6 linked regions of the Oryzias latipes genome follow. The protein of the gene in region 1 interacts with the protein of each later gene in a pairwise test. Links are inferred from orthologs where the notes say so. Each region holds a gene or a part of one and is shown in the gene's direction. Other genes may lie near its edges.

Region 1 (2,869 bases):
TGTATCAAAAGACATTTATTTTTGACCCCTGAAAAAACAGCATTTCTTCTGGTAACCTGAGCTTTTGAATAGAAATGACATTCTTTGACATTTAAAATCAATTTCCTTTTAAATGCAACTGTTTTAAAAAAAACTGCACTTTAGTTGAGAGAGAGTGTAATCATGGTGACAGTAAAACTAAGCGTGATGATGTCACACTTTTTGGAATTTTCTTTTAACCCCCTTTATTGTCGTTCTGCCTCTTTCAGGTGGTTGAAGATGGTTATGAGTTTTTTGCAAAGAGGCAGCTTGTGACCCTGTTTTCAGCTCCAAATTACTGCGGGGAGTTTGACAATGCTGGTGCCATGATGAGTGTCGACGAGACTCTTATGTGCTCTTTTCAGGTGGGCTACCTTTATTCATGAAGATACTACCATAAGCTGTTTGCACCAATATGATCTCAGGCTAACCCTAGATTAAGCATTCCTTTAAAGAAAATTACATTTCAAGACATTAAAACATAACTGCTTGTTTTGAGTTTGATTAAGGATTTGATACAGTTACTTAAATATTGATTTGATTTATACATTTTTAATTCCAACACCAATTGATTTGCTTTTTTAATAAATGTTTACTAAGTGAGTGATGGAAACTAAACAAAAATACACATTCCTTTTCTTCCCTATTCAAAGACCCACTTCGGTAAAGTGTGTTTTTGGTGTTTTTAGCATGGTCTTCTGTCATTTTTCTGATGACAAGGGAAACATATTAAGCTTAAAATTGCATTTCTATGTCTTTCTTTAAAATGATAAAAACACTATTTATAAAAAGGTGTATGTGTGACGTAGAAACCTTGTTGGGCGGGCCTCAAGCTCCCTGCTCTACTCTATTCTGATGCAAACAAATAGATCCATTTACGTCTTAGTTTTCCTTGTCTCAGCTGGAATCTGGATCAAAACTGTATGACTGGAACCCTTTAGTATTGCTCGCCATTTTTGTTCCACCACTAATGTAATATTGGGTTTTTAGGGGCTGTAAGATAGTGGGAGAGCATATGAACACAGAGCTCCTGGTTAAGGATGATGGGAAGGAGGTTGCAGGTTTACCCCCCCCCCCCCCCCCCCCCCAAAAAAAACAGTCAATTTTTAATAGAAAGTTGCCTTAAAGAAAGATTGACATTGCATTTCGAAATGTCAATCAAGTGGTTTATGCTGCCGTTCTTGGTGTTAGTGTTCCTGGGTTATCTTCAGGGAGAATCTATAGGTGTATTTGATTTTTGATTTCTCCAAATGTCTGTGTTGATCGAGTAAAAAAGCAGTCAGACAGCTATAAAAGTGGATAAAGCGCTGCAGCTGCTGCCTCTCAGCAGCAACAGCTGGAAGTCTTCTCTGCGGGGTTAACTTTCCAAAACAAAGACATGGAAAATACACCCTTTTTCTTAAAGCATAACTTTTATCCATGTTGTTGAGATGAAGCCGTATTAACATATTCCACTTACTAACCTGTTTGTTTCTTTTTTAACGTTTCTTACAAGCAGAAATCGTTTATTGTGTAGCAGTAAAGAGGAAATGTAACTCTTATTCTGTATTACTAGGGAATTTTAGTTTGAGTATACATTTGTTTATTTATTCTTTATTAAAAGCTTTAATATGAAAATAAGAAATGTCTAGGCCTCAAAGGACTGTTATTGGGTGTGTGGTTTTTTTTGGGATGTGATAAAACAAAGGCGTAACTCTTTACACTGGATTTGCAGATCTTGAAACCAGCTGAGAAAAAAAAGCCCAACGGCAGTCGTCCTGTGACTCCCCCTCGCAACATGGTGACCAAGCAAGCCAAGAAATGAGGCAGGCGCCAGGGAGCTGGTGGGGGCCAGAGTCCCACTCCTCTGGTCTGCTTTTGTTTTCCGCATTTGAAAGATCGGGTCTTCTTCACGCTGCCAATACTGAAGATACCCGCTCCCACTCGATGAAACAAAATGTTTTATTGTTTTGTCCCAAGGGGTAAGTTGATAAGTCACCATGGAAAACCTCAGGTGTTTTGCACTCCATTTGCAGCTAGTCTTTGCCACATAATGACTGTTCAATCAGGAAAATGTAACAATACGGCTACTTGTGCACAGGAATGCCTTTGTCTGAAGCTGTGCACAATTTTTCCACTTTTCCATGTCTCGTTTATTTGTCATCTCTTTTCCTCACTGTCAGTAATAATAAACAATGGCTATAAATCTATGAGGAAAGTCACAGACACATTTACCTTTGTAAACTCCATTGACTGTCAGTGTCAAAGAGAATTGTCAGAATTGCATCATATTTCTAAATAAGTCGCGCTAAGTTAAACGAATAAGGAAACATTCTGTAATATCAAAGTCTTTCTAATAAACTTTGAGAGTATTTGGGGGGGGGGGTTGATATCTTAATGTTATTTGTTTCTAAAACTTTTATGGCTCTTGATGAAAATAAAAAGTTGAAAACTTCACTGTGTCTAAATAAGTGCTCATGAATTATAAAGCAGGTACTAAAAAACACCCACGAAGACCAGCGCTCAGCCACCTGCAGCTCTTTATCGCTCTGTTGTGGCTCTCTGGTTAAAGAAAAATGATTGTCATATTTAAAAGTAACTATAAGGGAAGTAAGAAAGTTTTTTAAAAAGTAAGTTAACTCAAACTTTTTTTAAAACTCATTCACAAACATTTGAAGGACGGTACGTATCACACTTTAACAGATTTATTTGCACCATGTAACGGAAAATCAATTGAAGGTCAGTTGGCACAACCAGAGTTAAAGACCACCAGATTATGAGATGGATTTTTTTTTGTTATTTTTGGAACAAATGAAAGGATTTAAGTGCACCTTATGGTTCAAAAAATAAGATAAGGGTCACCTAAATAGCT
Region 2 (4,249 bases), on another chromosome or scaffold:
TGAACAGGTCGCCAGTCTGTTGCAGGGCAGATTATAAAACAATGTATATTTTATATATATGTTTTTTTTTTTAAATCCAGGAATGAAACAAGTGTACAGTATCTTACCAGCTTTACTCTCCTGACATAGCAATAGTTTTAGAATTATACTATACACACAACTAATCAATAAACAATGTCATCTACAACAGTGAAAACAATATTAGAAATAAATCATGTATTTTTTTTCTTTTTTAAATAGAAACAACAAGCTGGAATTACTTTAGCATTAAAATGTCAGTATGTATTCAAAAACAAAAAATTGATTGGTTTTAAACATGGAAGCAATGGAGGTACTATGATGCCACAAAACACAGGGATTCTCATTAGTTTTTAGTCTGTCTTTTCTGAAAAAGCTCATTTATAGCAAAGGCGTGACTAGATGTGATTTTATTTTTATGCTTACCAAAAAAAAAACAAAAAAAATGGAAGGAAAGAAAGAGAAGAACAAAATGTAAATCTGCTAAAACAGCTGCTGTGTTATTAGGATGGAGCTTTCTATAAGTGCGGAACAAGAGAGAGAGGTACGGCAGGGAAGCTGTGAAGCAAACATGCTCAAGGACACCTGTTTTCAGTCGGCAGTTTGTGAGAAGCACCTTGTGTTTGCAACAGAGAGCAAACACGGTGTAAATCCAAACACAGGCCAGCCTTAACTCAACAGCCAGCCATGATGTGCTTTAAAATTAGACAATGTTATGAATAATTGATGAATTCCTAAGACGACAAAATGGTACCGCTTACTTTTAAAAGGTTTGTACTTTGTTTGAAGCCTCTCTTTTCTTCACGTATTTTGTCAAGCAAAAATCTGATTATTTATTAATCAAAGAAATCCTGCAAAAGATCATTTTAGTATACAACAAAATATTCTCTCAATTAGCCTTACAGCACCCGCATTTGTTTGTGATCCTAGTGGCAAAACCACAGAGGACACCAGAACAAATTCATATGCATGAAAAATCCACCTAACCTGAATCAACCTCTCATTTCTCTGCACAGTTATGCAAAGGAATGCACAGAGCCTCTAGCTGTTTACAAGAGTTATCTACCAAAAACCTGCTTAAACTGGTGAGTACTGCAGAAGGTGCTCACATTTTTAATTTGCTTTGGATAACTAACTTCATATCTCTGTGCTTCAGGTAGAGTTTTTAAGGGAACAAACTTGTGTTGAGACAAAAATCCTTTGGAGGAGGACAGAAGAAACACCAAACACCATCAAACACCAACCTGTTTTGTATAATAGTGATGTTAAAAACTTGATTTAAAAAAGATAATACCCTCTATACACTAGTGACAAAAGCTAGATAGGCTGAGTGAGAGGAGATAGGGAGGGAGTGTTGACAGCGGCACGGAGGAGAAGACGAGAGAGAAGGAGAGGAGGTTGCAAAAATGCTGTGCCTTTAAGGCAGCAAGCCCCTCCTACATGGAGCCGAGCAGAGGAGCCGAGTGATGCTGGCAGGAGCCCGAGCTTCTCGATAAACTCTGGCATCAGCTTCCCTTCATCCGGCAGTCAGTGAGGACACAGTGAGGGCGGAGGGGCAGAGGGATGGGGATGAAGGAAAACTGACAGGAAGGCAGAGAGAGGAGAGAGGAAGATAAAAACAGACCAAAAGACAAAAAGGAAGAGACTGTCATTAGAATCACACAGCTCCTTTTTCACAGCAGCCGGTCAGCCGTACCGACTAGTGCTTCCATCCAACCCGACTGGGATGACGGGTGGTGTGTTTTTGTGGTACGGCTGCCTGAGTGACGGCAGCGCCTGCATCACAGTCCGAAGCAGGAGTTCTCCTCGCCGCTCTGTCTCTTAGTCATCCTCAGCCTTCTCTCTCCCTTAGAGTGTTATTAGGACCGTTCATCTTCCCCATCTCATGCCTTCTGCCTCCTCCTCCTCCTCTTCCACAGCTTCATCCTCCACTTCTACTCCTTCTCTGATGAGCCACAACCTCAGAGTGAAATAACCCTGCTGATAGAAGCTTCTCTCTCTGTCAAGACAGTAAGTAAAGGGAGGGGGGATAACTGTGTGTGTGTGTGTCAGGGAGCCTGTGTGTGCAAGTCGAACAGAGACAGAGAGTGCAGCAAGACGGTCAGAAGAGAAGATGTTAGTGTGCACGACAGAAGGACCTCCAAGGAACCGGCAGGTTTGAGTGATCGTGATACGCCTGGCTATTGAGCTCCAGGCGTAGCAACAGCGTGGTGATACCGGCACGGTGAGTAGGTGTGTGTTCCAGTAAACGCGTGTGTGAGCGTGGAAGTGAGGTAAGTACTGCTGAGGCGAGGGATGCATTTTACCAGCAGCCGAAAATCCTCAACTCACTTCACATGTCTCCAACCTCCTTCACAGCACTGATGTTGCTCTTAGAACTGCTCAAAACTGAGGAGAGGCTAGCAACAGACAGGAGGGAAAGATGAGACATGAAAGAATAAGTAATTGCTTTCCTTCCCTTCTGACCAGGTGCCATGCGTGATTGGCCAGCACACCCTGTGGCAGTGGCATTGCCCGGGATTGAGCGCGAAGCTCTCCCTCCTGCTCACTCTCTGGAGCTCCTCTGGGAAGCTTTCCTGGGATTTATCTTGTGCTGCTGGATGGCACGAGGCTCTCTGCCTCTCTGAGAACGGTCCCCAGAAAAAACACTCTCTATACGGATAAGAAGTAAAATAATTATCCAATCACAGCACAAGCAGGCAGACTGGGTTCCCTTAGCAACAACTGAAGGAGACAAGTGATTTTTTTTTTCTCTCTTTCTGCTATTCTGGTTTTTGGGCACACCCCTGTGGACTGCTGTGGGTCAGCGTTCTGAGAGAGGACTTGAAGAGCGATGCTGCAAAAGCCAAGCTCCCATCCAAATTCCAAAGGAGGGTGCTCATCTGCGTTCCAGGCTCCTTGTTACTGTGTCTCGCTGACAACATGATTTGGGGGTTTTTTGTTATCCCTCCACAAATTCCCTTCACCAAGTCACATTCTGCTGGCTTTGAAATCAATTCATCCTGATCCCACGCCACCTGGAATGAGCTCTGCATTCAGGAGAGAGATTGGAAGAAAAAAAAAAGCTCACACCTACTCTCTTGCCTTTTGTGGACAAGAATACAAGGACAGCGCGATTAGCCTTTCGCCAGCAAGGAAAATGGATGTGAAATAAAGTTTATTTTAACAAGTTTTTTTCAAGAGGAAGAAATAAAACGGGGCACAGAGGAATATCTTTTTTTTTTCAGAGAAGATTTGTCCTTTCTCTCTTGCAGACACTAGCCCTCACTGAGGGACTTCATTTAAAAGGCAAATCTTGTCCCCACTGGCCATCAATAGATTAGAAAAAAGATTTTCAAAGTGAGCTGTTGATGTGGGTTTTATTTTTCCAGGTAGCTTAAGCTTAACCCACTATTAAAAAAGGTTGTTTTTTTTGTGTTCCCAGTTTTGTAGGTTAGTCTACAAATATGTCACTGTGTTGAAGTGAAAAAGATTCAAGTGGACAAGGGGAATGGGGAATAAGTCTCCCTGTATAGACAGGTGTTTTAAAATAGCTGGGACAGTTTTAAATGTACATGCTGACATGAGATGAGTTTGCTTAACACGATTATGTAAGAAATCTCCAAACAGCGTCAGCTCACATTTTCTGCTTCCCTTTTTTGTCCATGGATTTTAAGTGTGGGACTTTTCTGATGTTGATACTCCCTTCAATTTTGGAAGCGTCTACCCGAAGGGATGGATGTCAGAGTGTGACCCTGTGCCAAGTGTGCGGGCGAGGCAAGGTAATTTGGCTGCCCAGGTGCTTTTAAGATGTTGAGGTCTCCCTGTGTGGCCGGGGCCCCTGTTCGGATCAGTAGCGCTGAGGCTCATTGTAGCCAAAGACATGGACCCCGACTCGGCTCCCCCACGCCCTCAGCCTGTTGGCCACTGGCCCCACGTCACTTTGTAAAGGATGTCCCTCAGCAGAGCTCCGGCCCAGGACACCTCTGAGACCCCCAGCCCGAGAGAACGCATCCGCAGCCACATGAAGATGGTGATCAACCAGCTGGAAGGCATTCTCACAGAGCTCAAGGATGTGGCCAAGGAACTCCGGGAGGTGAGACTCAAAATCTGCTTTTTTATTGAATTAAAAAGGAGAGCAGGGGAAGCAAAAGGAAGTTATACATGATGGGGGGCAGGGTGGGTGTACTTTTTATGTGAGCTCCTTCTAATTAAGTATAAAAACAGCATGGTGATTTTCTTTAGATATATA
Region 3 (2,576 bases), on another chromosome or scaffold:
AACTGTCTGGAAACTTTGTGTTTCTTAGAGACCACAAGCTGATGAAAGAGGACTCCGTCAACTCAAGACTGCACCCAACTTTTCTTTTGCCCGGCTTAGTTCACGAACCAGAGGATACCTTCAAGATGAGCTCTTGGGAGAACCTTGAGACGTTTGGCAGCTTAAACACAACCGACTCGTACTCAAAACCTGCACCAAGTAGCGCCTCCTCAAGGCAGGAACTTTTAGACTTTGAAAGTGCAAACTTCGAGGACGCCCTGGTCGAAAACTCAACACTGGTGCCTTCCATTACCGTGGTGGCAGATGACAACACAAGCAGCTACCTGCCAGTTGTAGAAAGTTCTTCCTCTAAAGACCGCAGCCTGCCACAATCCTCCGACAGAGGAGCAGACTCCGGTTTTGATTCTACCTCAGAGAAGGTTGAGATCGTCACTGATGGCCACTCCTCCGCATTTCCTGACAGTGCCACCAATGACTCTTTGTGCACCTATGCCAACATTGCCAGCCTTGACGATGACGACCCAACGACCTTACAAACCGCCGATCAGTCCGCGAGGAAGAAAATGCCGGAATATTTCCCAGTTTATGGAATGTCTTCGGAAAACGGGCACAGTGAAGACTTAACGAGCAACGATCTGTTTAGTGAGCTGATTGAGGACATGGAGTTGGAAACCACTCTGTCGGATCATGACGAGGCTTTCGTGGAAACCAATGGAGAAGCTGCGGTTCGGTCTTCTCTCTTGGTGTCTGGACCGTCTCTGGACCAGATCAGTCAGGACAGCTTACTAGAAGACAGCTGTTCTAACACCGTTCCAACCGCAGAGCACCCGGCTGAAACGCCAGACTCTTTAGATTCTCTAGACATACACAGGCTGGCGGAGCAGGCCGATGAGCTGAGCGCTCAAACACTTCAGCACAAACTCCATCCTCCATACAAGATATCTGACAGCGGCTACGAGACGGAAAACCTGGAGTCTCCGGAGTGGAACTCCCAGCCGAGCGACCGCTCTCCTGTCAAAAATGGCAGCAGCATCACAAAAGAGTCAGAAGAGCTGGCATCTGCAGCGAATTTGGTGCCACCAAAAATTGTTATCTCCGAAGTTGAGGGTTTACTGGAGAATTGTGGGGAGGACTTCCATGAGGGCCAGCAGACGGATCGTCCCGCTGAGGAGCCGTTCATGGGCGGCAGTTACAGAGACTCTGCGTACTTCTCTGACAATGACTCTGAACCTGAGAAAAAGTCTGACGAAGCGGCAGGAGGGGCTGCCGACGCTGTGTTGCTGAGGAACTCTGCCCAGAAAGCTGCCAAAGAAAGAGATATCGATGCTTTATTTTCTGAGCAGGACACCAACGTGGTCGTCCATATCGACGCGGCGCTGGAGGTCCACAAGGACTTTGAGACGAGAGTTGCAGAGCCCGACAAAAAGACACCTCAACTTTTTAATGCTACATCAGCACCAGAAGAACTTGAAGACCCCGCCGCCTCATCAAGGAAAGAACCAGAGAGAGGCGTTCACCCAAAGCTGACCAGGACGTACGCCAACGACGGCCATAAGATCAAAGAGCCAGACGTAGAGGGCCGCTACCTGGGGAGGGGGGAGGATCTGGATGGGCAGGAAGATGGCGTGGACGCAGACGAGGAGGACGAGAACAGCGAGGACTCGGATGATGACCTGCGTGGGTACCAGCTGCACAGCTCCAGCTCTGACAGCGAGGACGAAGCGCCGCACCCCGTGCCGGTGATTGTGTCCGACGACAGCAACTCAAAGCACCTGAAGAGTTTGTTAAAACCCACAACTTTGAGCATACCAGCATCAACTTCCCCGTGTCCAGTGAGGTCCAACGCAGAGAACTCCAGAAGAGCCGTGTCCTTCTTTGACGATGTTACAGTCTACCTATTTGACCAGGTACAACATCTGTTTTTATCTCTGCAGCGATGTTTTCCTGGAAAATATAAAGCTACGTTCACACCAGACATATTATGTACGTTTAAGAACGCGTGTTTAGCCCATGGCGTTCACACTGGACTGTCTCTACCTAATACTAGCGCCACCTACTGTTGGAAGACACTTGGGGTGAAATGTCCAATCTCGTAAATCTTGCTCTAGAGTTTTTCTTTCACAGCGCTGTTCTGGTAGATGAAAGATTTGGTGTTGTAGAATTCCTGCCGGGTACAAACCGCAGTTATTAATTTCTCCTCCATCATCAAATTTCAAACGGTTGGCAATTCTGTAGATGAAAAGGAATGCCATCCAATGACTGACTTCAATGGCTGTGCGTTTTGTACGTAGAGCCTAAAAGTCTTAAAACGTGTGTAGCTACGTGTGAACGCACATTTACCTTGACTTTTTCTAGGAAGTGGTTTCTTGAATGTGCGTTGTGTGAACTTAGCAGCATAATGCAGATGTTTAGATCTTATTTTGACTTCTTGTGTTTTTTTAGGAGACCCCCACCAAGGAACTGAGTGACCACTTGAGTGGCCCAAACAGTCAGACGTCAGAGTTCAACGGTCCAGTGCCTGCTGCCGGCTTCCCGAACCGCTTCGGTAACTCCGAAAGCTCCACCGATGAGGAGGG
Region 4 (4,153 bases), on another chromosome or scaffold:
ATACGTTCATGAACTGAATTGCATTATTTTGAAGAAGCCTTTACTCCGCGTGGGTTTGCTGCTGGGAGCTCCGGTACGGTTACTTGAGAAGGCTGAGCCATTTTGGCTGTGAGCAGCAGGACGGATCCGCGGACCCGCCCCGGGGATCAGCGCCTCCAGGCCGGCCCACCGGCCGCTCTGCTGCAGCGGCGGGAGCAGAGGCTGGCTGGACGGAGCGGCCGGAACTGCGTCAAGCTGCACGTGACAAGCTGCTACCACACCGGAAACACGATGTGTCGCCTGGAAAATAAGAGCTCTGACATGGTATTTCCACCAACAAAGCTACCGGTACCTTTTTAATTTTTTTGGTTGCCAATCTCCTCCACGTGGGTCGGCCCAGCGCTCCGTTGATAAGCCTCGGCCCTCGAAGGGTCTCTTCCCCGATTTCTCCCCCACCAGTGTGATGGAGTCCCTTGTTTTTAATTTTAGTGTTAATAAAATTGTGTTCAAACTGGTACCACGTCTTGGCCTCATTTTGAAAAGTAATCTGTGCGCCTGGGTTGAAGCGCCTCTGGGTGTCCCGGGGTGGCATTGTTGAATCCCTTTTTCTGCTACACCAGCTGCCACAGAATTCCAACATTTTCTCCACAGTACCTTGCCATTGATGCCGAGACGATTAAGAGACAATTAATTAAAAATCCCTAGGAAGAGTTTTTGCTTGTATCTGGAAGTAAATTAAATTAAATTCAAGATAGCTGCCTTTTCCCAAAGTCAAAGGTCAACGAAACTTCTGTAAACTCGAGCTGGTGGCATATTTGTGTGATTTCGTCAAAATTGCTCAAACAAAAGTGTCGTTTTCCCATATTATGAAAAAACACAAAAAACGGTGATTCTCAGAGTTTGCCACAAAATAGCCGCCAAGCCATAGGTTGTGTGGCTGTCCCATAATGATTTCAAAACTTTAACTCCCAAAGTCATATTTTGGTGACTTTTCGAGTATGCGGCGGGGGTTACATTTTTGCTCAAAGGCGCCGAAACCTTTCCAACTACAAAAACAATATGGTCCTTGCAGTCACTGACTGCTACATAATTAAAAGACCATTAAAGACGCTTAGAAAATGAATCAAAAGATAAACAGAGTGGAACTTTATTGTTTTAAATAGGTTCCATAAATTTTAGTTTTTTTAATCAGGCTTTTGGTTCTTGCTAAGGGTAATAGCAATAAAACAAAAACTACTTAAAAGTAATAATTTGCTTTCTTTTTTATTATAAAGCAAGTTTAAGATGTTACAGTGTACAGTTCTTCTCAGATTTTCTGAGGGATTTTATTTTGAAATGTGTTCCGGAAGTCAGGTGCTTCCATTGAGCTTGCCTTTCCTTCATCCGTATTTTCCAGCATTAAACCATGGGGGAGGGAGTCTGGAGTGCTGCCTCACAACTACGGCGGACTACAGGCTCTACTTTTCGGCTCTAAACATCAGAGACCGGCGGCGGCGAAGCCTCTGACGGGGAATCCCTCGGAAACGCCCCGAAAGGCTCGGATGTATGTATGGCTTCTCCGGAGTGACGGGGAGTCTCGCGGGGGACGGGCGTGAAGATGAGGATTCCTCCGGTGAGTTGCTGCATTTGTTTTCGGGTGACATTTCGCAGCTCTGTTGCTCCCGTAACGCTCCGCACCGCCATTGCAGCGGTATTCCCGAAGGCGGGCAGTGGACGTGCGGGTCCGCCGCGGCGTTTGACCGCCGCTCCTGCCCCCGAACGTGCGCGACCCCCTCCGAACGTTTCGTAACGGTAACGCGGGATTCTGCGTGAATCATACAACGCGCTGCGTGAATTCCAGCTGTCGCTAACTCCACCGCAGACGGAGCGGCGGCCGGGACGCGCAGACTTTGAGCGCTCAACCCGTCGTGACCGGCGTCGCACTCGGTGAAGCGGAGACACCGAGTCAGTGACGGCGGGCTGAACCGCCGGAGCAGCGCCCCGCGTCCGTCACTGCGCACGAGCGCCCGCTGGACCCCCGGGGGTTGAAGCCCGCCGCTTTGCCCCCCGCTGCCGGGATTATGTAACACCAGTGCGGCGTTACACGTTCTGCCGGACTTGGTGGAGCTTTTCGTCTCACTAGCAGTCCCGCTAAGTTGAGGAGCAGCTGCTCCTCCCGGGCTGTTGCTCGGCCTGCAGGCTGGAGCCTCCGTGCCTCCTCATGTTGCATAAGCCTCGCCAACGGTCACCCATCTGCAGTGGCAGTTCTCCTGTGGGCAATGTGGGCAGTCGCCGGGGGCACGAGCTCCCCGAAAAACAAACAAAAACCACATCCCACCCGCCGCGCGCGCTCATTTCCACGTGAAGTTATAATGACATGTGTCTGCGTGCTGCTGGGATGACAGTTTTTGGAGTGGAGAACACTCTGGAGCAGCGCGCGCGCGGGGGAAACCAACTCGCAGTTGCAGTGGCTGTGAACAGGTAGAGGGGCGGGGCTTAGACTCACCGCTGATGATTCCAGACCCCGCAACAAACCAACAGCTGCTTCCTAATAACTAACATTTTCATTAATACATTTAATTTGCTGGGTTTACTGGATTTTATGAAAAGTTAAAGAAAAAGAAAAAAAAACACACAAAAAAACCCAGAAAGGAGTCTGCATTAAAGTGTAGCATCACAGGCGGGGACCGCTCCCCCACAGCCAAGAGGTGACCCAGGTCCCCATCCAGAGCCGCAGTGGCTGAAACAGCAGCCGACCCACAGGGAGAGGTTCAACTGAGGAAGCACCGAAAAAATAAATAAAATGAAAAACAGAATGAAAAAATAAACTTATTGATAAAAGCAATAAACGATAAAACATTGAAATAAGGTACATTCAAATTAAAATAATGCATTAAAATCTAGTGTAAGTTCATAAAACAAGATAAAATGGATACATAAAAATAAATAAATCAAACAAACAAATAAATAAATAAATAGTGGTGGTAAAAAACTAGGTAAAAGCCAGGTTAAACAGATGGTTCTTTAGCCTTTTCTTATAAACGTCAATGCTCTCTGCGGCTCTCAGGTCCTCTGGCAGACTGTTCCATAAACGGGGGCCATAGTGTTGAAAAGATGCTTCTCCGTAGGTTTTGGGTTTTACAGTCAGAATGGTTAACAGACCTGTGCCAGAGGATCTCAGGGTCCGCGAGGGTTTATACTTTACTAAAAGATTGGATAAATAAGAATGCGCAAGACCGTTAAGACATTTAAAAACGGTTAGGAGAATCTTAAAATCAATCCTGAAGGGGATTGGGGAGCCAATGCAGGGATTTTAAAATTGGGGTGATGTGAGCCCGCCTCCTGGTCTTGGTGAGAACTCGTGCAGCAGAATTCTGGAGAAGTTGAAGGTTCCTAATGTTGGTTTTTGGAAGACCAGCAAGCAGGGCTTTGCAGTAGTCAATTTTACTCATGATAAAAGCATGCATTAGCATCTCCATATTAGCAAGAAAGAGCAGTGGGCCTATCCAGATTTCTGAGATGATAAAAAACAGTTTTAACCACCTGTTTTGTTTGTGGGATAAAAGTAAGCTTAGAGTTGAAAATAATACCCAGTTTATTGACTGTTTCTGAATGGCTTAATGAAATTTCTTTTAACTTCAGAAACTGTTTCTCTTTCTTAACTTCAGGACCAATAACTAAAATTTCATTTTTTTCCTGGTGGAGCTGCAGAAAGTTATTTGCCATCCATAATTTTACATCTAAAATACAGTTAAAAAGTGCTTCTATTGGTCTTGTGTCATCAGGAGACATAACTATGTACAGCTAGGTATCATCAGCATAGCTATGAAAGCTGATGTTGTGGCTTCTGATGACATTTCCTTGTGGAAGCATGTAAATGTTAAAAAGCAAGGGGCCAAGGATGGAACCTTGAGGCACACCACAAATAATTTCATGGACCCCAGAAAGGTATGTGTCCATGCTTACCATAAAGTTTCTCTCCATGAGATAAGATTCAAACCACTTGAGATCAGTCCCTGAAAGGCCAAGACTTTTAAGTCTGTTTACAAGGATCCGGTGATCAACGGTATCAAAAGCTGCACTTAGATCTAACAGAACTAGTACTGAGATCTGACCTGAATCCAAGGCACACCTGACATCATCAATGATTTAAAAGAAGGCTGTCTCTGTACTGTGGTTCGTTCTAAAACCAGAC
Region 5 (4,007 bases), on another chromosome or scaffold:
GGGCTAACACGCTAACGACCGACTGGTACAGAATCAAACATGGGCGGGGCTTTTGCCACCCGCAGAAGCGTAGAGAAAGTGTAAGGGGCCATTCGATTGGCTAAAAGCGAACCCGCCTGCTTTCCCGATGAGTTTGATTGACAGATTCACTAGCCAATGGTGACATTAGTTGACCCGCTCCGTCAGATGAGTCTCAATATTCACCGTAGAAAAATCTCTCACACACACGGGGAGATTCACAAACGAGAACGGGAGTTTGAATGCACAGTCTGCAGTTCGAATGATCTGTGAGTTCACATCACATGTGTACCTAAAAATCATGTTTGTGAAGCACCTACTGTGTATTTCTGATACATTTATTGTGAATTTCTAAAATGTTTTTGTGAAAAACAGTGTGCACATTTGTGAGAAACACTTATTGTGCATTTGTAAAACATTTAGTGTGCATGTGTGAAACACAATCTGTGTGTTTGTGAAACACAGGGTGTGTATTTCCGAATTTATTTTTCACGTTTGCATAAAATGACATTTGTGAATCGGAGCGTGTGCATTTGTAAAACCGGTTGTGTGCATTTCTGATTATTGAGACTGAATTAACTCCATAGTTTCTGCCAGTAAAGGGATCTATAATCATTAGAAAATGTAACTTTAAGAAAAAAGTGGAGTCAAAGCTGGTTAGTCAAAGAGAAAAAAAAGTATTTGGCAATGCAGTGTTGACATTTGAACCTGGGACAAAGAGGGGCCCCTAGCAATTATGTTGTGAGTACACAAAGTGTTAAAAGACAATGACTTGGGGGGGGGGGGGGGGGGGTTGTAGGGGGTAAATGTTACTTTTTTACGTTTTTTTCTCCCAATTTGGTGTTAAATATTTTTTTAAAAAAAATAAATATTTTAAATATCAGTTTAAAAGATCTTGTCAAAGTCTGTGAAGATTTTTCGGTGCTGCTGGGGTTTTTCTTGGGCATGGGGAAGAAGATGGTCTGCGCCCAGGCAGAGAGACGGCCACTCCAGCAGGGGTCCATCAAGACTCTCCAACAACTAGCTGAGGAATCCCAACCACGACGCAACACGCCCCCTTCTAGCCGGCCGGCGGACGTGTCCTCCTCGAAGCTGATTGGTCGGTGACGAAGCCACTCGCCTTCTGATTTGCTGCTCAGGGAACCACATGATGGGATATGCAAATAGCCCCCGTGAGGCAGTTCAAATCTCAGAGAGAGGAGCCAACGCAGCACTGGAGGACTGAGGAGCGAGAAAGAGGCATATAAAGGGGGGAGTTCCTGCAGCGGGCACTTTAAGACAGAGCTGCTCTGCACATTTCCAACGCAGCTGAAAAGTTTCGAACCATTTCCGCATCTGAGGCGTTTTATTCTTTGTCCCATGAGTGCTGCAAGGTAAGGAGCTGGTGTTCACGTCGAATCCAAACGTGTTACCCTTTATTCGGTAATTACTACAAAATGTTGGAATTTAAGTCTGATTAATTTGAAATTTTGTGGTTTTACTGACTTTTAGTAGCTCTTTTGGTTAAAAAAACTGCACAAAAGTGTCAAAGTTTCCCCAAACTGTTTCCAGAAAGCACCATCTCTAACCTCCCCCTCCTCTCCTTTCTCTCTCCTCCTCCTCCTCCTTCAGTGTGCTCCCGTCTTTCAGTCCATCAGCAATGCCTGGCCCTGTAATGCCTATGGATGTGGCCATGAGATTCTACATTAGCCACTCTCCTCCTCTGCGAGGCTTCCTCAGCCCCTACGATGACCTGCAGAAGGCCAAGAACAGGGCCAACCAGTCCGCCCGCAGGCACAGCCAGCAGCTCTACAAGCCCCTGCGACCGTGCCTGCAGAAGGCAGTTAGTGATGGTAGCTGCGTGGCCTGGAACAAAAGCAAGGCCGGCAAAAAGAGGGTGGTGTTTGCCGACACCAAAGGCATGGCGCTCACCAACATCCACGTCTTCTCCAAGTTCGATGATGAACCGTACCAGATGAAGCAGAAGGATGAGATCACAGAGGAGCTGCAGTTCGACATGACAGACCTGGAAACAGCCACCATGGATTTAAAGATCAGCTCTGTTCGCAGCCTGGCACTTGACTTTAAACAGCCCTCGGCCGACTATCTGGACTTTCGGAACCGCCTGATTCAGAACTCCGTGTGCTTGGAGAACTGCTCCCTGCAGGAACGCTCTCTGACGGGGACCATCAAAGTCAGAAACATTGGGTTTGAGAAGTTGGTGCAAGTGCGCATCACCTACGACTCATGGGCCAGCTACACCGACGTGGACTGCACCTTCCTAAACAACGTCTACAACAGCCAGGACAATGACACCTTTGCGTTTGTCGTGGAGCTGCCATCCTACGTCCCGCCACAAAACCGAGTCGAGTTCTGCATCTGCTTCAAGGTCCAAGGCCAGGCTTTCTGGGACAATAACGATGGCAAGAATTACACCCTCAAACACAATGGCTGGAGCGGCGACAACGTGAGCAGAGCTTCTGAGCCAAAAAGGCTTTCAGAGCACAAAACTGGGGACGGGAAGGTACTTGACCTGGGGTTTGATCAGTTCGGCAGCCCACGCATGTCCAGCGGACTTTTTCCTGGTTGGCAGAGTTGGGGTCACTTTGATAACACCGTGCCTTACTGGTGAAAGCAGCAGGAGGTTCGCCACACCGGCACAAGATCACAGACACTGACAGGGCTCTTAGTGCAAATCCAGCTCTGGGGCTTCAACTCGACTGCCTCTCAGCCAGAAACTAAACTGAAGCGAACAAGCTCTGCTTTCAGAAGCAGAAGTAGTACAAAAAAAAGACAGAAACCTAAGTGTAATATGCTCAACTGACCTACTTTCTGCTGTAACATGGTCGTTCGGCCTGGTAAATGATTGAACAGTGGCTACCAGAGGAGGGATTTTTGGGGTAGGGGGGAAAGAGACCTTTTGTAAAATATTAATGTGCCTTCTTATCATGTCTGCCCACTAAAATACAGACTGATGCATGAGTTGAATATGCACTGACTGCGCTCAATGTGACGTCTGGATATTAGGAAGGAAAAGGAGCTGATTATGTCCTTCATATTGAAGGGAAAGCTAGGGGGTGCATGACAGTAGAATGATTCTCTGTTCAAGGAAATTTAGGTTGATTTCTAATAAAAAAAAATTTTAAAACGGAAAGGAAAAAAAAAGCACACTAAACCTTTGCACCCTCCTATATTCAGAGTGGTCTTGTTTTCTAAAATGGGAGTCATGCAGCCCTTTCTTTCCCTCCGTGTAAATTGCACACTTTTGCCTGGTTAAAAGAAAAATGTAATTCTGAGGCGAGCTATGTAAAGGAAGCTGCTATATTGATGTGTGGTTTGAAAGTATCTGCATGTGATTGGTTGTTTTCAACAGGGAAGACGTTTGATTAATTGTTCTGGTAAGTGAAGAAAGAAATGATGTAAAGATCGAATGTGTTGGTTGCTTGTGTTCACAAGTGCAATTCTTAATGTTAAGTGTACAGATTGAGTGGCTGGAATCCAGATTATTTTGTATTTTGAAACTTTTAGTCACTGTGAAGAAAAGGTCTAGACCCCGGCATTTTGTGTCTCACTTGAAGGTGTGTGTTGCCGACACACACCATGATTGTAATGTATTTACTTTTTGGAATAAATTTATATATATTTGTGTCAAAATATTAAAGTCTCAGGATTTTATTTCCCTCTTACTTTAATATACGGTTGTGTTGTCAACATAAAAATGTGACTATAAAACCTAAGTCTTGAAAATTACATGTTATTTCGTACAATGAGTATTTCCCAGCATCCCCAGGAAAGCACAAATTTCTGCAATGCAGTTTCATTGCATAAACATGCTGCAGATCTTTTAAAATTTGGATTATGTAACCCATGTTTGTAAACAAACCATCAATGCATACATGATTTGGTGTTTACAAACACTGGAGTTAAATGAATTATTAATGAAAGCGTCTCCCATTACCTGGGGTTAGGCTCTTTATTTACTGAGAGGGGAAGTGGCACAACACTGCGTA
Region 6 (4,175 bases), on another chromosome or scaffold:
ATTTCCTCTTGTTTTCAAACCGCTACGGTGTAGCTTGAGGGACAATTTTATGTGCCTGCTTGAGTTACGTTGGTTTTTTTTGTTCTGAAACAATTATTGGAAGTCATTTCAATCAGTTGCTTTCCCATGTAACTTCATTTTTGGAACTTTGTGAGAATTAAACGGAAAATGTCAGATGCGCAATCAACAGAAAATTATGAGCCTTACGGGAAATATCAGCTATACTTTCATGTATCTGTTCACCTGCTGATTTGTTTAAAGACAATACATTGCAACAATCTAAAACTGTAATGGTCTTTGCAGTTTGAGAAACTTCAGTTGGTTACTGGTTTTGTTTGCCCAGAAAAAAAAAGAAAAAAACACATTTTGCTCAATTTTTTTCATCTTTTCTCTGTCTGTGGTGTTGTTCATTCAACCTTTATACTCCCCTCGCTGGCTCCTGTTTGTGAGAATGACCCTCACAGAAACCTGTTTGTGCTTGAACCCCCTCATTGCAACAAGCAGTAGATTGTTTTCACGCCTCACCCTGAGAGCTGTTTATTTTCAGAAGCTATGTTTGGTTTATACTTTACTGTGTGTTATATGTATCTGCATGTATTTAAGACTTTATTTTTATTTATTGTATTGATGTCAAAGTATGTTATGTGAGAAGTTTTAAATGAAGTTGGCACATGCAGTTTTTTGTTTTTGTTTTATTTCTTGGACTTTGCAAATTTGTGAATAAAAACGAAACTAATATTGTCTAATGAATAATTTAAATCTGTGTGTGTAAAGAGTGACCACAAGGGGTCGCTGTTTGTCATGTAAAAGTCTAGTATGCTGGTCAATCAGTTATTAAAATCTCACGATTTCCAAATGTCGTGTAAATGTTTTTTTCTGATTTTACTTCTTATTTTAATGACTAGTATTTCCTAACAGCCCGTAGAAGGTCAAATTCCTAATAAATCAATCACTGAAGCCAAACTTTGGTACAGTAGTATCCATCAACATGTACCGAAGCCTTTGTTGTTCAGCAAACAGGGCGAACCTAACAAATAAACTGGTTATTGTTCTGGCCACTTATGTCGAGCTGTGTTTAATTATAGCCGCGCGATTAATATTTGATCAGGTACATTAATCTGTTGTTGTCCCCAAGAATAGAACACTTAGCGCTGATTCACGTGCAGGAAAAAAGCTGCTTCGCTCGGGTACCGACAGGGGACACCTGGGGAGACCTAAACTTCAGCCAAAATAGGTCATATTTGAGTTTTCTTCGTGAACTTGAACTTCTTTATGAACTAAAAGTCAGGCGACAAAGCCGTAAATGAGAAAGGACGCAGCTCAAAGTGTGAATTCGTCTTTAGTTGCCTGAAAGGATGGACCGGCCTTGAATGCAACCTTTTTTTTTTTTTGACTGACAGTCCATTTTATGCGGTTAACAATTGATGGGGCGTGGTTTGGGAGATTGTGGGGCGGTTTAAGGGAAGCAAATGGGCGTGTCTGTAAAGCCTTGGGGCCGATGAACGGATGGGGAGGAGGGGCTACGGTCCGGTGGAGAGGAGGAGTCGCGTTCAGGGGCTGTGGGAGAAACAGAGTAGTGTACCGTGAAGGCGACAGAGAGAGCGCGGGGGGAGGCAGGGATGCGTGCGCCCTGAACGGTCCTGTGGGTACGCTCGGCGGCACACTCAGCCCTTCACAGCCGCAGCGCTCCGCGGCAGCAGTGCCTCATTCCTTCCGAGGTAGCCACCACGATGTCCGGCGGGGCTGAGGTTCGCCTCCTCCGCCAAGATGCCGGCCAAGAAAGTCCGAGGATGCCGGCCTGGAAGCGAGAAATCTTGGAGAGGAGGAAGGCTAAGGGCGGCGGTTCGGGGGGAACCGGGTCCCCGGAGACCAGCCCTGGCAGTGCGGGCCCACAACGGGTAAACGGCGAGCTAACGGGGAATGTGAACGGGAGCGGCGGACTCACGAGGGACGGCGGGGCGGCCGGTGGGTCCGGACGGAACTACACCATCACCACAGCCAGCCAACACTTCGCAAACAACAAAGAGCCGCGACCGACGGCCTCCGACAGGACTCCGAGGGAGAACGACCGGCACGAGAGCCTGGTTCTGCAGGAGAGTCTGGGGCCCCTCGAGGAGAACCCGTTCATCAAGCTGGAGAAGGAGCGGAGGAGGCGGCAGGAGCGGCAGGAGGAGCGAGAACACACCGGCCGCCCGGTCCAGCACATCCTGGAACTGTACGGCAGCGTCCCGGGAATACGGACTATCCGAGCCGACAACATCATCATCATCGAGACGGATCCAGATTACTTCCCAGAAGCTGGAGACGCTCAGACGGGGGCCAAGTGGCAGCAGAACGGGGTGGGGGGCTACAGCTCCCTGAACGACCTTCTGGACCGCAGGGGCAGCGCTGTCACCGAGATCCGAGCCAAGGAGGTGGTCATCTACGACACCACGCTGAGCAAGAGCGAGGAGAACCTGAGCACCCTGGGCCGACCCGAGTATGAGGCCGCGTATGCTGCAGGGGAGGGCCATGGCCGGGTCAGCCGGATCCTGCAGAAGTTTGACAGCAACTATGGGAAACTGCAGAAGAAGTCCCACAGCACGGAGAACCTGCTGGACCTGGACAGCAACTCCAGCAGCAGATCCAGACTCTGGTCCAGACCACAGCCAGACCTGGGGCCAAAACAGGGGCCGGGTCAGTCGGTCAGCAGCCAGCTGTCTTCACCGCTCTTCCAGAGTTCCTGCTCTTCCACACCAAAGCATCCTGTTCCGGAGCACAGCAGCCCCCAGCACATCCCCGGGGGCCCTCATCCAGTGTCATCCTTCCGTCAGCGGTTCGAGGAAGGCCCAGCGGCCCCCCCACGAGACGAGCCAGACAGGGGGCCAAACAAGGTCACCAGGGAGCGAGATTGGGAGGTCACCGAGGTGTCCCCCAAACCAAAGGTGCCATGCTCTCCGGAGACCCGCCGTGCCCGTGCCGAGTCCCCCACAGCTCCCTTTTCCTTCAAGGCGTCCCGTCCCTCACAGGACTTTGAGATCCGGGCCTCCCCAAAGCCAGACCTGGCTCAGATCCCTGACGGGGACACCCAGGCACGAGCCCTCGCAAACCTCCGCCTGCAGTCCCGGAACTCCTTCACCGTGGTCCCCAAAGGCCGCCTTACGGCCCCGCCTGCAGCGGCCAGCACAGTCAAGGCCTCCTCCTCCAACAGAGTGCCCCCCTCCCCAACACTCCCTGTGAAGTCCACGGAGAAAAAAGCTGAAAATTTATTGGAGGAAAATGAGACGGAGAGGCTGGTGGGGACCCCCAAGCCCGACGCCTCTCCTACCACTGAAACAAGTCCTGGTTCTCCTGTGACCTCTGACCTTTTGTCTCCACCTGCTGTTGTTACCCCACCTCCTTTTTCCTCACCTGCTCTAGCTTCACCCCCATCTTCACCAGCTCCAACAGACTCCCCTGCCCCATTGCCGCTCACATCCACCCCCTCCCCGACGCACCGGCCCCCCTCTTTGGATCAGCTGCCAGTAACGAACATAGATGACATTGAGGTGGAGCCCCCACAGCGCGTCTCTGTCCCCAGCCCCCTTGTTCAGAGGAAGAAGGGCAACACCTTCACTGTGGTGCCAAAGCGCAGGGTGGAGGCCGACACCCAGCCAAGCTCACCTGAGACCCAGCCAGAAGCACCAAGGGGGGCCCCACCGGGGTCCACTCCCCCACAGGCCCCGTACGCTCAGCTGGGAACCCTGCTGAAGAAGCGCTACCCCGCTGTGGAGGACATCCAGGTCATCGGTGGATACCTGTCCCTCCCAAAGTCCTGCCTCTCCAAAACGGGCTCCAATGGGAAGAAGGTGAGCACAGACTCAAATGTTCTGTTTTGCTTTTCCTAAACCAGTCTTTCAGAAATGTGGAGCCTCCTCACGAAGGCAGAACCCCCCCACAGACACACATCCCCATGGCAACACACATCATGTCGTGAGACGCGTGTTCGTCAAATTTTTCTTGAGGTCTAAATTTAGCAGTCAAATGTCACGGTTCTGGTTTTGTTTGCACCTGTTGTTTTCATTGCACACCTCCGTAGTTGTTGTTGAAGCTCACGCCTCCACATGCGCGCTTGCACACATCCGCATGCCGCTAAACCGCCGCGTCTCATCGCTTGACCTGCAGCAGCCGGTTTGCATAAGTGGATTAAGATGCTG

The links.
Region 2: the proteins of ppp1cc (region 1) and c3h15orf59 interact in a two-hybrid assay, tested with the Homo sapiens proteins (2 studies listed by BioGRID and IntAct). The link is inferred for Oryzias latipes from reciprocal best matches to the Homo sapiens genes PPP1CC and INSYN1.
Region 3: the proteins of ppp1cc (region 1) and serine/threonine-protein kinase LMTK2 interact in binary tests that used the Homo sapiens proteins (3 or more experiments, as listed by UniProt). The link is inferred for Oryzias latipes from reciprocal best matches to the Homo sapiens genes PPP1CC and LMTK2.
Region 4: the proteins of ppp1cc (region 1) and zfyve9 interact in binary tests that used the Homo sapiens proteins (3 or more experiments, as listed by UniProt). The link is inferred for Oryzias latipes from reciprocal best matches to the Homo sapiens genes PPP1CC and ZFYVE9.
Region 5: the proteins of ppp1cc (region 1) and ppp1r3c interact in binary tests that used the Homo sapiens proteins (3 or more experiments, as listed by UniProt). The link is inferred for Oryzias latipes from reciprocal best matches to the Homo sapiens genes PPP1CC and PPP1R3C.
Region 6: the proteins of ppp1cc (region 1) and tprn interact in binary tests that used the Homo sapiens proteins (3 or more experiments, as listed by UniProt). The link is inferred for Oryzias latipes from reciprocal best matches to the Homo sapiens genes PPP1CC and TPRN.

What each region holds. Positions count from the first base shown.
Region 1 is NC_019867.2:25,502,798-25,505,666, reverse strand, and holds the end of ppp1cc (serine/threonine-protein phosphatase PP1-gamma catalytic subunit), read left to right. Parts: intron 1-248; coding exon 249-383; intron 384-1,732; coding exon 1,733-1,822; 3' UTR 1,823-2,369; downstream 2,370-2,869. UniProt on the Homo sapiens protein: Protein phosphatase that associates with over 200 regulatory proteins to form highly specific holoenzymes which dephosphorylate hundreds of biological targets.
Region 2 is NC_019861.2:27,767,791-27,772,039, forward strand, and holds the start of c3h15orf59 (UPF0583 protein C15orf59 homolog), read left to right. Parts: upstream 1-1,449; 5' UTR 1,450-2,028; intron 2,029-2,064; exon of another isoform or gene 2,065-2,242; intron 2,243-2,487; 5' UTR 2,488-3,949; coding exon 3,950-4,093; intron 4,094-4,249. UniProt on the Homo sapiens protein: Component of the protein machinery at the inhibitory synapses, probably acting as a scaffold. Inhibitory synapses dampen neuronal activity through postsynaptic hyperpolarization.
Region 3 is NC_019866.2:12,832,156-12,834,731, reverse strand, and holds part of serine/threonine-protein kinase LMTK2, read left to right. Parts: coding exon 1-1,907; intron 1,908-2,442; coding exon 2,443-2,575; intron 2,576-2,576. UniProt on the Homo sapiens protein: Phosphorylates PPP1C, phosphorylase b and CFTR.
Region 4 is NC_019875.2:4,330,823-4,334,975, forward strand, and holds the start of zfyve9 (zinc finger FYVE domain-containing protein 9), read left to right. Parts: upstream 1-1,353; 5' UTR 1,354-1,591; intron 1,592-4,153. UniProt on the Homo sapiens protein: Early endosomal protein that functions to recruit SMAD2/SMAD3 to intracellular membranes and to the TGF-beta receptor.
Region 5 is NC_019873.2:14,796,075-14,800,081, reverse strand, and holds ppp1r3c (protein phosphatase 1 regulatory subunit 3C), read left to right. Parts: upstream 1-1,207; 5' UTR 1,208-1,377; coding exon 1,378-1,391; intron 1,392-1,629; coding exon 1,630-2,629; 3' UTR 2,630-3,653; downstream 3,654-4,007.
Region 6 is NC_019870.2:25,831,451-25,835,625, forward strand, and holds the start of tprn (taperin), read left to right. Parts: upstream 1-1,375; 5' UTR 1,376-1,730; coding exon 1,731-3,827; intron 3,828-4,175. UniProt on the Homo sapiens protein: Essential for hearing. Required for maintenance of stereocilia on both inner and outer hair cells. Necessary for the integrity of the stereociliary rootlet.